2 linked regions of the Macaca fascicularis genome follow. The protein of the gene in region 1 interacts with the protein of each later gene in a pairwise test. Links are inferred from orthologs where the notes say so. Each region holds a gene or a part of one and is shown on either strand. Other genes may lie near its edges.

What was found.
Region 2: the proteins of ANKS1A (region 1) and DOK3 interact in a two-hybrid assay, tested with the Homo sapiens proteins (2 studies listed by BioGRID and IntAct). The link is inferred for Macaca fascicularis from reciprocal best matches to the Homo sapiens genes ANKS1A and DOK3.

The regions. Positions count from the first base shown.
Region 1 is NC_088378.1:136,802,615-136,807,429, forward strand, and holds the start of ANKS1A (ankyrin repeat and SAM domain-containing protein 1A), read right to left. Parts: upstream 2,914-4,815; 5' UTR 2,810-2,913; coding exon 2,622-2,809; intron 1-2,621. Other genes in the region: TAF11 (transcription initiation factor TFIID subunit 11), read left to right, coding at 4,261-4,431. UniProt on the Homo sapiens protein: Regulator of different signaling pathways. Regulates EPHA8 receptor tyrosine kinase signaling to control cell migration and neurite retraction.
Region 2 is NC_088380.1:184,450,428-184,455,159, reverse strand, and holds the start of DOK3 (docking protein 3), read left to right. Parts: upstream 1-1,691; 5' UTR 1,692-2,330; intron 2,331-2,427; 5' UTR 2,428-2,543; coding exon 2,544-2,609; intron 2,610-3,525; coding exon 3,526-3,831; intron 3,832-4,732. Other genes in the region: probable ATP-dependent RNA helicase DDX41, read left to right, coding at 162-298. UniProt on the Homo sapiens protein: DOK proteins are enzymatically inert adaptor or scaffolding proteins. They provide a docking platform for the assembly of multimolecular signaling complexes. DOK3 is a negative regulator of JNK signaling in B-cells through interaction with INPP5D/SHIP1.

The DNA of each region.
Region 1 (4,815 bases):
CCCTGCCCCTAGGAGTCACAGGAATGAGAGGCTGGGAAGCTCTTAGGCATTTACCCTCTCTACAAAAGACATGGAAGAAAGTCAAGGGGAGCCAGCTCTCTAACTCTGGGGAACAGAGAGTTAACACCCACACTTTATGGCAGAGACGGGACACATCAGCAAGAGGCCCAAAGTAGAAGCATTGTGCTCAACAGGTTTCCTAGTATTGCTTAACTATATTAACTATATGGCAGTTAAATCCTCAGCAGAATTTCAACAGTCTCTGAGTGAGCACGCTAAGAATAACTTGACCTGAGGCTGGGCACAGTGGTTAATGCCTGTAATCCCAGCATTTTAGGAGGCCGAGGCGGGCGGATCACGAGGTCAAGAAATTGAGATCAGCCTGGCTAACATGGTGAAACTCCATCTCTACAAAAAATACAAAAATTAGCTGGGTGTGGTGGAGCGTGCCTGTAGTCCCAGCTACTTGGGAGGTTGAGGCAGGAGAATCGCTTGAACCCAGGAAGGCAGAGGTTGCAGTGAGCTGAGATAGTGCCATTGCACTCCAGACTGTGAACAAAGCGAGACTCCGTCTCCAGAAAAAAAAAAGAATAATTTGACCTGTACTTGAAGGTGGGAGATATGAGAAACTTCTCACTTTAGCAGGATATGCTGAGGGTTAAGATATCTCTGGAAAATCTCCAAATGCTATGTCATCAACTCATTAAAGACAGAGGCATCTCCAAACCTGTACAGTCTTGTCGCCTTTCAGACATCAGAACTGCAGAGTGGCAAATCCAGGTGAGATCCAAAACCCAATTCATGCATTCACTGTACATTTATTGAACACCTGTAAGTTGTCAGGCACTGATCTAGGGACTGAGAATATAAACACGATATATGGAAGTATACCCATCCATTATTATTTACCTTTATTATGCCCAACCTCTCAAGGGTCCAGGCAGGAAGTTCTTCTGTTGCCTCAGGAGCACCAAATAAGTTTCCGTTCTCATTTCTGTGCCTCTGATCATGGGATACCCACCTGGAACATGCCCATAATAACTCACCTACCCAAATCCTCACATCCTTCAAGACCAGCTTAAGTCTCCCTCCTTTCGGAAGCCCTGACCTCCACTCCATCCCTAAATGATGTCTGTTCTCTGACCTGCTAGCAATTACAGTGAGTGATACCATCCACCATCCATTTACTTAGAAATTTATGGTCCTCCAATTGATACTTTTATTTCTTCAACAAATCTTAAGTACCTACTTATACTGCTTTCAAAATCTTCCTGTAAATACCTGGGTTGGTACTCAGTGCTTAATATCTATTAACAACAATTTATTAGCGCCTTAGGCTTCTGTGGTCCAAGCTCACTCAAACTGAAGTTACGTAAAGTAATGGGGAACAAAAGCTAACGAAGCCATTTCTAAATGAACTTCCACTTCTTAAAAACCTCAAAAGAACAAGGAAGGAAAAAGAAATCAGGCTATGAAAGCGCTGCTGAACCAACACATTTAACTCACACTGACAAAGCACCTCCAATCCCCCTTCGAAGCCACACAAAACTGATCTTTTCCCCTCGGTCCTTACAGTTCCAGATTGAAGCGTTTAACAACAGACCTTGGAAAAGTTTACAGCATTCCTCGGTTTCCTAAACAAGTGTCTCTGCCTTTATTTCTAGATGAATAAACCCCCGGATGAATCCTGCATATGCCACTTAGACTAATTCAATACGGTTCACTACAAGGAACTACAATTTGAACTTCAAGCACAAGAGAGGCTAAAAGACGAACATCTTGAAAATGATAAATCCAGAGGCAATTTTAATATAAACAAAAGTGAGGGGGCGTGCGCGGTGGCTCACGCTTGTAATCCCAGCACTTTGGGAGGCCGAGGCGGGCGGATCGTGAGATCAAGAGCTCGACACCAGCCTGGCCAACATGGTGAAACCCCGTCTCTACTAAAACACAAAAACTAGCCGGGTGTCGTGGCGGGCGCCTGTAATCCCAGCTACTCGAGAGGCAGCCGCAGGAGAATCGCTTGAACCCGGGAGGTGGAGGTTGCAGTGAGCCGAGATCGCGCCACTGCACTCCAGCCTGGGTGATAGAACAAGTCTCCGTCTCGGGCGGGGCGGGGGGGGGGGGCGGGAAAAGCGAGGTCCTGCGTAGCCTGGTGGAAGGTTCCAAGTTCCTAAGAGAAAAAAATCAATAGAATTTCCTCCAGAGGAGCCTCGAGATTCTACAAGGCGTGGGAGTTTCTGCAGGAGGTGAGGGAGAGCATATGTATATATATGATATACATATTTGCTCCAAATTGGCTTTTGTGGGCTACGACAGCTGGCACCCTGTAGCGAGCGAGGGTGAAGCCCGGCTGTGCCATGCGGCGGAGGCTGCCACCTGGGCACTCCCACCATTCTTCGCAGCCGGCTCAGAACGGGAGACCAGGCGAGCCCGGAGCAGCGTGGACTCGGACCCGCGCGCCCTCCGGTATCCTGGCCCGTGCGCCGCCTGCCTCGCCCCGGGCACGCCACAAGCCCACCCCGCCCGAGTCTCAGGACCCCCGATCTCTCTGGAGACCCAAGAGACGGGTGGGGGAGAAGGGGTCTGCAGGCAGCGGCCCGGCCCCGGCGCGTACCCACCTGAGCAGACTGGAGAGGGGGTGGCTGGAAGAGCCGAGGCCGCCGCCGCCGCCGCCCCCAGAGCCGCCGCCGCCGCCGCCGCCGCCGCCCCCAAAGCCAGAGGAGAGCCGCTTCCCGGACAGCAGCTTCTCCACCGCCGGGAGGTGCCCGGTGCGGGCCGCCTCCAGCAGCTCCTGCTCCTTCCCCATCCCCAGGGCCGCCACCCGCTGGACCCCCCTCCCCGGGGCTGCAGCCGAGCCTGCTCGGGCTCCCAAACTTTCCGTCTCCGGGCAACGCACCCCCCAAACCGGCTGGGGACACCACCCCCCCTCCCTGCCTTTTCTCCACGAGCGCGTCACTTCCGGGATCCGGCGTCACGCGTCACCGCGCCCCCGCGCCCCGCCCCCTAGCTCACCTAGCTGGGCGGGGCTCCGCGGACCAGCGCAGGTGGATTTTGCTGTGCCGAGACAGGCCTCACGGGTTATGGGGACAGCGCCTTGTGGGTCCCCATTATATAGGTGGAAAGGGACAAACAGGCCCACCTGTACGCGCCTCCCGAAGTGCGCTCCTTCCCTAAACGTTTTGGGAGCTCCTGGGACAGGAAATACGGCAATTCGTCCAGGCAGCGCAGAAACAAAGAGATAAATATGGTAACGCGCACCTACATTTCCAAGGACATTCTTTAAGCACGCATAAATTAAATATGTAATAGGTGCTGGGACCTAGTCATACCCAGGTGAATAAAACGCCCTCCCCCTCGTATCTCTATGAGGGAAGAGAAGAAAATTTTAAAATAGAAATATCCTCACCACTTCATCCTCCCAGTACATGAACTAGTTCGTTAAAGTGAAACGTTCGAAGGAGACACCTTCCTCTCTTTAGGCTTTCCTCTTAGTTTTGGTAAGATTAACCAAAATGATAGAAAAGTGTCAGACTTGTAGAAACAAACCTCAATCTTGAATACTTGCGAACTGAAAAAAAATCATTTAATTGGATAGAAACTATGTGTGTTTTGTTCCCTGGTACTAGCACTGTTTCTAAATCGAAGTACGCAGTCAATAGTTGTGGATGAATAAATGAATTGGATAAATTCTGCTCAAGCTAGATGACTTTTTGTTGTTAAGGTGCTTGCTGAATGGAGCGGAAATGCTAGCAATTCCACGTACACACAGACCCGCGGTTTCGGGCCAGTTGAAATACACAAGGTTGAGTCTTGCCTGAAAGTTTACCAATCCCGGGTAGCCTCATTCCACGACACCGCCATACAACGGAACTGAGTTTTCTCCCGATCCCCCAACTTTACTCTGAGGGGTTAACGAAGGGATTAACTGGTATTGAATTTTTAGACAGGCGAAAAGGAAAAAGTTATTTAGTAAACAAAACTGCGCTCCTTCACAAGTGCTGGTTTCCTAGCTAGGAGGATCCATAGTCTGAGCTCTTTACGTCCAATTTTCCCGCTTCCCACTGTCGCCAAACCAAAGTTAAAATGAGTCCTCTAGTCCTCTACGCGCGCCTCAAAATGACCCCTCAGGAGAGCGGTAGGGGTGATGTCATCGCTGCGCGACGACAGGAAGTAAGATACTGTCCTGTGCAGCTCGGGGTTCCGAGCTTCTGCCTCAGACATCGCCGCGATCTCCTCTCCCCTCCAATCCTATCCGTGATGGACGATGCCCGCGAGTCGCCCTCCGACAAAGGTGGAGAGACAGGGGAGTCGGATGAGACGGCCGCTGCGTCCGGGGACCCGGGGGCTACCGACACGGATGGAATCCCAGAGGAAACTGACGGAGACGCAGATGCGGACTTGAAAGAAGCTGCAGCGGAGGAAGGCGAGGTAGGAAGAGATGTATCGATGAGGCTGAAGGAATACCCAGAGATCGTGTTACTGGGTGCTTGCCGGGCTTCTGGTTAGTCCCTCCCAAGTTACGAGAACTCGAACTCACCAGAACTCCCTCCAGATCGTTAATCTTGAGGGGGAAGAGAGCGGACGACCAAACAGAACTCCAGTGCTGGTTCCGTTCCAGAGGCTCAAGCACTGCGTTAATATTTTTAGTCTTGTCAAGGGATTAAAGCTACTTCTAAGGGAGTTTTAATAGCCTATTGGCTTTAGTGGTGAGGAAACTGGGATCCAGTGTCACACTGAGACGCAGTGCAAGAGCTAAAACCCAGGATTCGTAGCACCCCTTTCACCGCAATATGGTTCGTCTTAGATGTTAAG
Region 2 (4,732 bases), on another chromosome or scaffold:
TGCGGAGCGGGATCCCTGAGTCCCCAGCCGGCAGGTGGCAGGAGGGGGTGCTGGAATTCAGAAACACGAAACAGGGACCGAGGGTGCCTAACAGGGTGCCTGAGGTCCAGGGCATGGATCCTGGCCCTTGACTTGGCTGATCCCTGTCCCCATTCCCCCAGGAGAGCGCGGCTGTGCCTTCTGCGGGGGCCTGGGCCATCGGATCACCGACTGCCCCAAACTCGAGGCTATGCAGACCAAGCAGGTCAGCAACATCGGCCGCAAGGACTACCTGGCCCACAGTTCCATGGACTTCTGACCCGATGGTCTTCCCTCCTCTCCAAGGGGCCTCAGTCCCCAAGATTGCCGCCAGTCTACACACACAGCAGCCCCCTGGACAGAACCAGCATCTCAGCTCGGCTGGCCTGGGCTGGGCCAGACTGGTCCTAGTTGCCTGTTCCCTGTGCTCCTCAGAATTACTATTTTTGTTTCCTTTCACCCCAGCTGCCATTAAAGCACAAACCTCTATCCCAGCCCTGGCCCTGCCTCTGTGTTTCATCTCATCCGCCCCCTGGTTCCTGGGGCAGACATCGCCTCTGACCTCTGGAGCCCCTCTGAGGCAAGGCCCCAGCGTCTCCCGCTAGCACTGCCAACACCCGGCCTGCTGGTGCTTGGGCATGGAAGGAGCCACCGAGCTGGTGCCAGCGTCTGGGGACTGAGCATCTCTCCATTGGGTTGTGTGAATTTATGACTCAAGGAGGGACCACACTGGCAGGCCAAGGAGAAGTGCTTGGATTCTCTGGTCTCCCTGGCCAGCTGTCACAGCTCTCGGGCTCACTCTTCCTGTCAGTGGTGTGATGTTTCAGGGGCTTCTCCTGAAGCCCCTTGGGGGGCTGCTGCTTGCCTGAGGCTCCCCACCCACTGCCTGCCTGCGCCAGCCACCTGTAGGAAGCCCTCTGCTCTGTTGACTGAGGAGGCAGCAGATGTCATAGAACTGCCGTTCAGGCCACAAGCTCCCCCTAAGTCTGCTCTGTGCCCAGCTCTGCTGAGCTGTGAGGATCTAGACGGGCCAGGGAGATGGCTACCTGGGAAGCTCTCAGGCGAGGGGAGAGAAAGATGCACACACAGAAATGTGGACGGCAGTCACAAGACCGCTGGCAGATGAAGCAGGATCTCGGCATCTGGCGAGAGGTAGGCAGGGAACGGCACAGGCGGCCACACTTCCTCTGAACCGGGCACTTTGTGTGTATGGCCACATGCTCATTCCAGTGGGACGGCGGTTGCTCAAGCCATATTTGTCACTTGGTGTGTGGCCTTGGGCAAGTTACTTAATTTTTCTAAGCACTGATTTCCTCACTGTTGAAATGACGATGAGAATGCAAAGGACATGGTGTCTGAGGTGGCTGGAGCTCAGGGCTGCCTGGGCACAGTGGGCACAGAGCCGGGTGCTGGGAGGCCTTTAGGAAATATTTCCTGGCCAAGTGCATGCCCAAACGGCATTCCTTAGCCTGCTTCCATGTTCTGTCCCAGAGGTGACACTGAATGACCTGAGACTGTTCCAGAATAAAGATACACACACACAGCCCCGCTACTGGTCTCCTGCTAGGCAAGCCAACAAAATGAGCCCCCAGCAGGAAGCAACGCTTTAAATGAACATGTGACCTCTCCGGGGCCCACTGGGACCTGCCACCCACACTCACGTGGTTGGGGCCATTCAGGGGTGTGGATCCCATGTGGACTGGATACCCAGCGTGAGGGCCTTTGTGCTCTGGGACAGCGTGTAGTGGTCAGGGAAGGCCTCCAAGAGGAAGAGGTGACCCACCTTCCCAGGCGGCACAGTGGTGAGGAGGCCCGGAGGGGCTGGTCTGGGGGAATGAGCCTGAGGGAGATGGAGGCCGGAACACACGGGCCCGGAGTGTCGGGCTGAGGAGCCGGGCTGCAGCCCAGGAAAGGGAAAGACAGGGGTGGTCTTGGGTTGTGGCGAGTGCTGCATGGGGCCCCAGTGGGGCTGTGTCCCCCAGGGGGATGCCAAGGCTGCCAACGTTCAGCGGCTCGTCGGGTGGAGAGGAGCAGGTGAACACGAGAGATTTCAGGGAGAAAGAGCAGCAAGATGGGGTGAGGCGCTCAAGCTGGGACGCCGAGTGGGAAAGCCAGGAGTTGGCTAGAGAAGGGTCCCGGCTGGAGGCACGGCCAGGGAGCGTCAGGCCAGGGTGCACAGCTGCCCAGGGCGGGTCGGGGGAAGGCGGGAACGCATGACGCAGGGAGCCAGCCTGCCACCAGACGCTCATGCCCAGCTGAACCAGGTGCGGGCGCAGGCTGTTTGCCTTCAGGCGGCCAGGGACTCCCTCCAGGTAGGTGTGGGCACCTTGGGCAGCCAGAACCCCAGGAAGGAAATCCACGCTGCCCCAGCCCGAGCTGAAGACAGGTTCCCCTCCCCCCGGCCTGCAGCTGCTTCTGGACGGAGGACGGGAAGTGGCCAGAAGGGGAAGTGTGAGGAGTTCCCGTCCAGCCTGTCATCAGTCTCCCCAGGTCTTGAAGCAGCGGCCCTGCTCCCTGCCGTGACCATGGACCCTGTGGAGACCCCTATCAAGGATGGCATCCTCTACCAGCAGCATGTCAAGTTTGGCAAGGTGGGGACTCCTGGCTGCCAGGCAGCTGCCAAGGACCAACAGTGGGTGGAGAATGCAGCCTCCGCCCCTGCCTCGGACAGCCCAGGCAGACCTGGGAGACTTGGGAAGGGAGTCAGGGTGAAGGATCCCACCCCAGGTATGGGGAGTGGAACAGAGCACGGGTCTCGGCCAGAGATGGCAGGGGCTGAGCAGGCTCTGCCAGACCCTGCCTCTGGGAGAGACGGGGAATACAGGAGCGGGAGAGGGTCGAAGGCTCAAACCTCCCAGCAGGGAAGAGCTTCACAGCCTCTGACCCACTGCGGGCCCTAGGGAGGGTGAGGGGCTGAGCTGGAGTCCCAAGGGTGGAGCCCCTCCCTGCAGCGGCACTGTCCTGGGAGCAGCGAGGCAGGGGGGTCACCTCTCCTCGGCAGTGGCCCCACACCCCCGCAGCTCAGCTGCAGCTGCTGCCCAGGCAGATAAACCGTCGATTTCCTTTGCTCGAAGCTATTTGCATGTTTCCTTCCTTACCAGCGTGAGGCGGAGGCCTCCCTCCCACCCCAGCCCTTGGCCTGTGGCCCAAGTGCCCCTTTTTGGGGGCAAGAGGGAGCCAACATAATGGCAGTGTCTGGTGGTCTGCCCGGCCACTGGAGGCTTTACAAACATGACCCGGTAGCAGCCCCAACTCGTGTTCTCGTGGCCTTTTGAGAGACGACACTGATGCTTGTGGAGGTCACAGTTCGGGAAGAGCGGGCTGGGATTTGAACCCAGGGCTGACCAGTCCCAAGCCCAGCCAAGGCCTCCTTCCTGGCGCCCTGAGAAACTAGGGAGCAGGGGCCTGCTCCTGGCTGGGAGCGTTTGCCAAGCAGCTTGTGCTGAACCGAGTGGCACGGAGAATCTGCCACCCAGGAGTCTCCGCTCTCCCCCGCCTCTCCCGCAGAAGTGCTGGCGGAAGGTGTGGGCTCTGCTGTATGCAGGAGGCCCATCAGGCGTGGCGCGGCTGGAGAGCTGGGAGGTCCGGGATGGTGGCCTGGGAGCAGCAGGTGACAGGTCGACAGGGCCTGGCCGGCGAGGGGAGCGACGGGTCATCCGCCTGGCTGACTGTGTGTCGGTGCTGCCGGCCGACGGTGAGAGCTGCCCCCGGGACACCGGTGCCTTCCTGCTCACCACCACCGAGCGAAGCCATCTGCTGGCCGCGCAGCACCGCCAGGCCTGGATGGGCCCCATCTGCCAGCTGGCCTTCCCGGTGAGTGCGGCGGGCAGGGGGGTGGTTGGGCTGGGGCACCTGCCCCCGACTTGTCCACCTCCATGCTCACTCACATCCCGCCACCCAGCAAGCTCCACCGAGCACCTACAATCCTGGGAAAAGTAAATCTATAATGACTCTCAGAGGGCCACGCGCGCCGTGGAGAAAATGGACCGCCAGGGGAGCAGGAGGAACTGAGGGTGCGACGGGCAGGGTGGTCAGGGAAGGCCTCTCAGAGGAGGGCCCTGAATGACAGGAGCCCACTGGGCAAAGGTCTGAGGACAGGGGCAGCCTGGGGAGTTGTGAACAGAGGCAGTCCCGTGGGCAGAGGCCCCGAGGTCGGACAGTGTGGGGTGTTTAAGGGCAGAAAGAAGGCGACATGGCTGGAAGGATAGGAGTGCAGGAGGAAGCCAAATCACGGAGCTTAGGGGAGCAGCTGAAACGCCCCAGGCCATGTGTGTGGTTCTGTTCTGAGTGTGAGGCGAAGGCTTTGGAGGGTTGTAGCCAGACACGTTTGTAAAGCCCCACAAGGTCTGTGATGGGTCAAAAGGAAGTGAGCCTGGGGGTTCTTCAAAGAGGTAAACAGAGTTACCATGTGGCCCACAGGCCCACTCCTAGGTGTGTGCCCAAGAGAACTAGAACAGGTGTTCAAACAAAACATGTGCATGTGAGGCGGCAGGATCGCGTGAGCCCCAGAGGTCGAGGCTGCAGTGAGCCATAATCGTGCCACTTCACTCCAGCCCGGGAGACAGAGCAAGACCCTATCTCAAAAAAAACCCCATAGCAGCACTACTCACGGCCACCAGAAGGTGGAAACAGCCTACATGGCCATCAGCTGACAAATGGATAAACAAAACGTGGTCTGTCCACAAGATGGAATACTACTCAGCCATAAAAATGA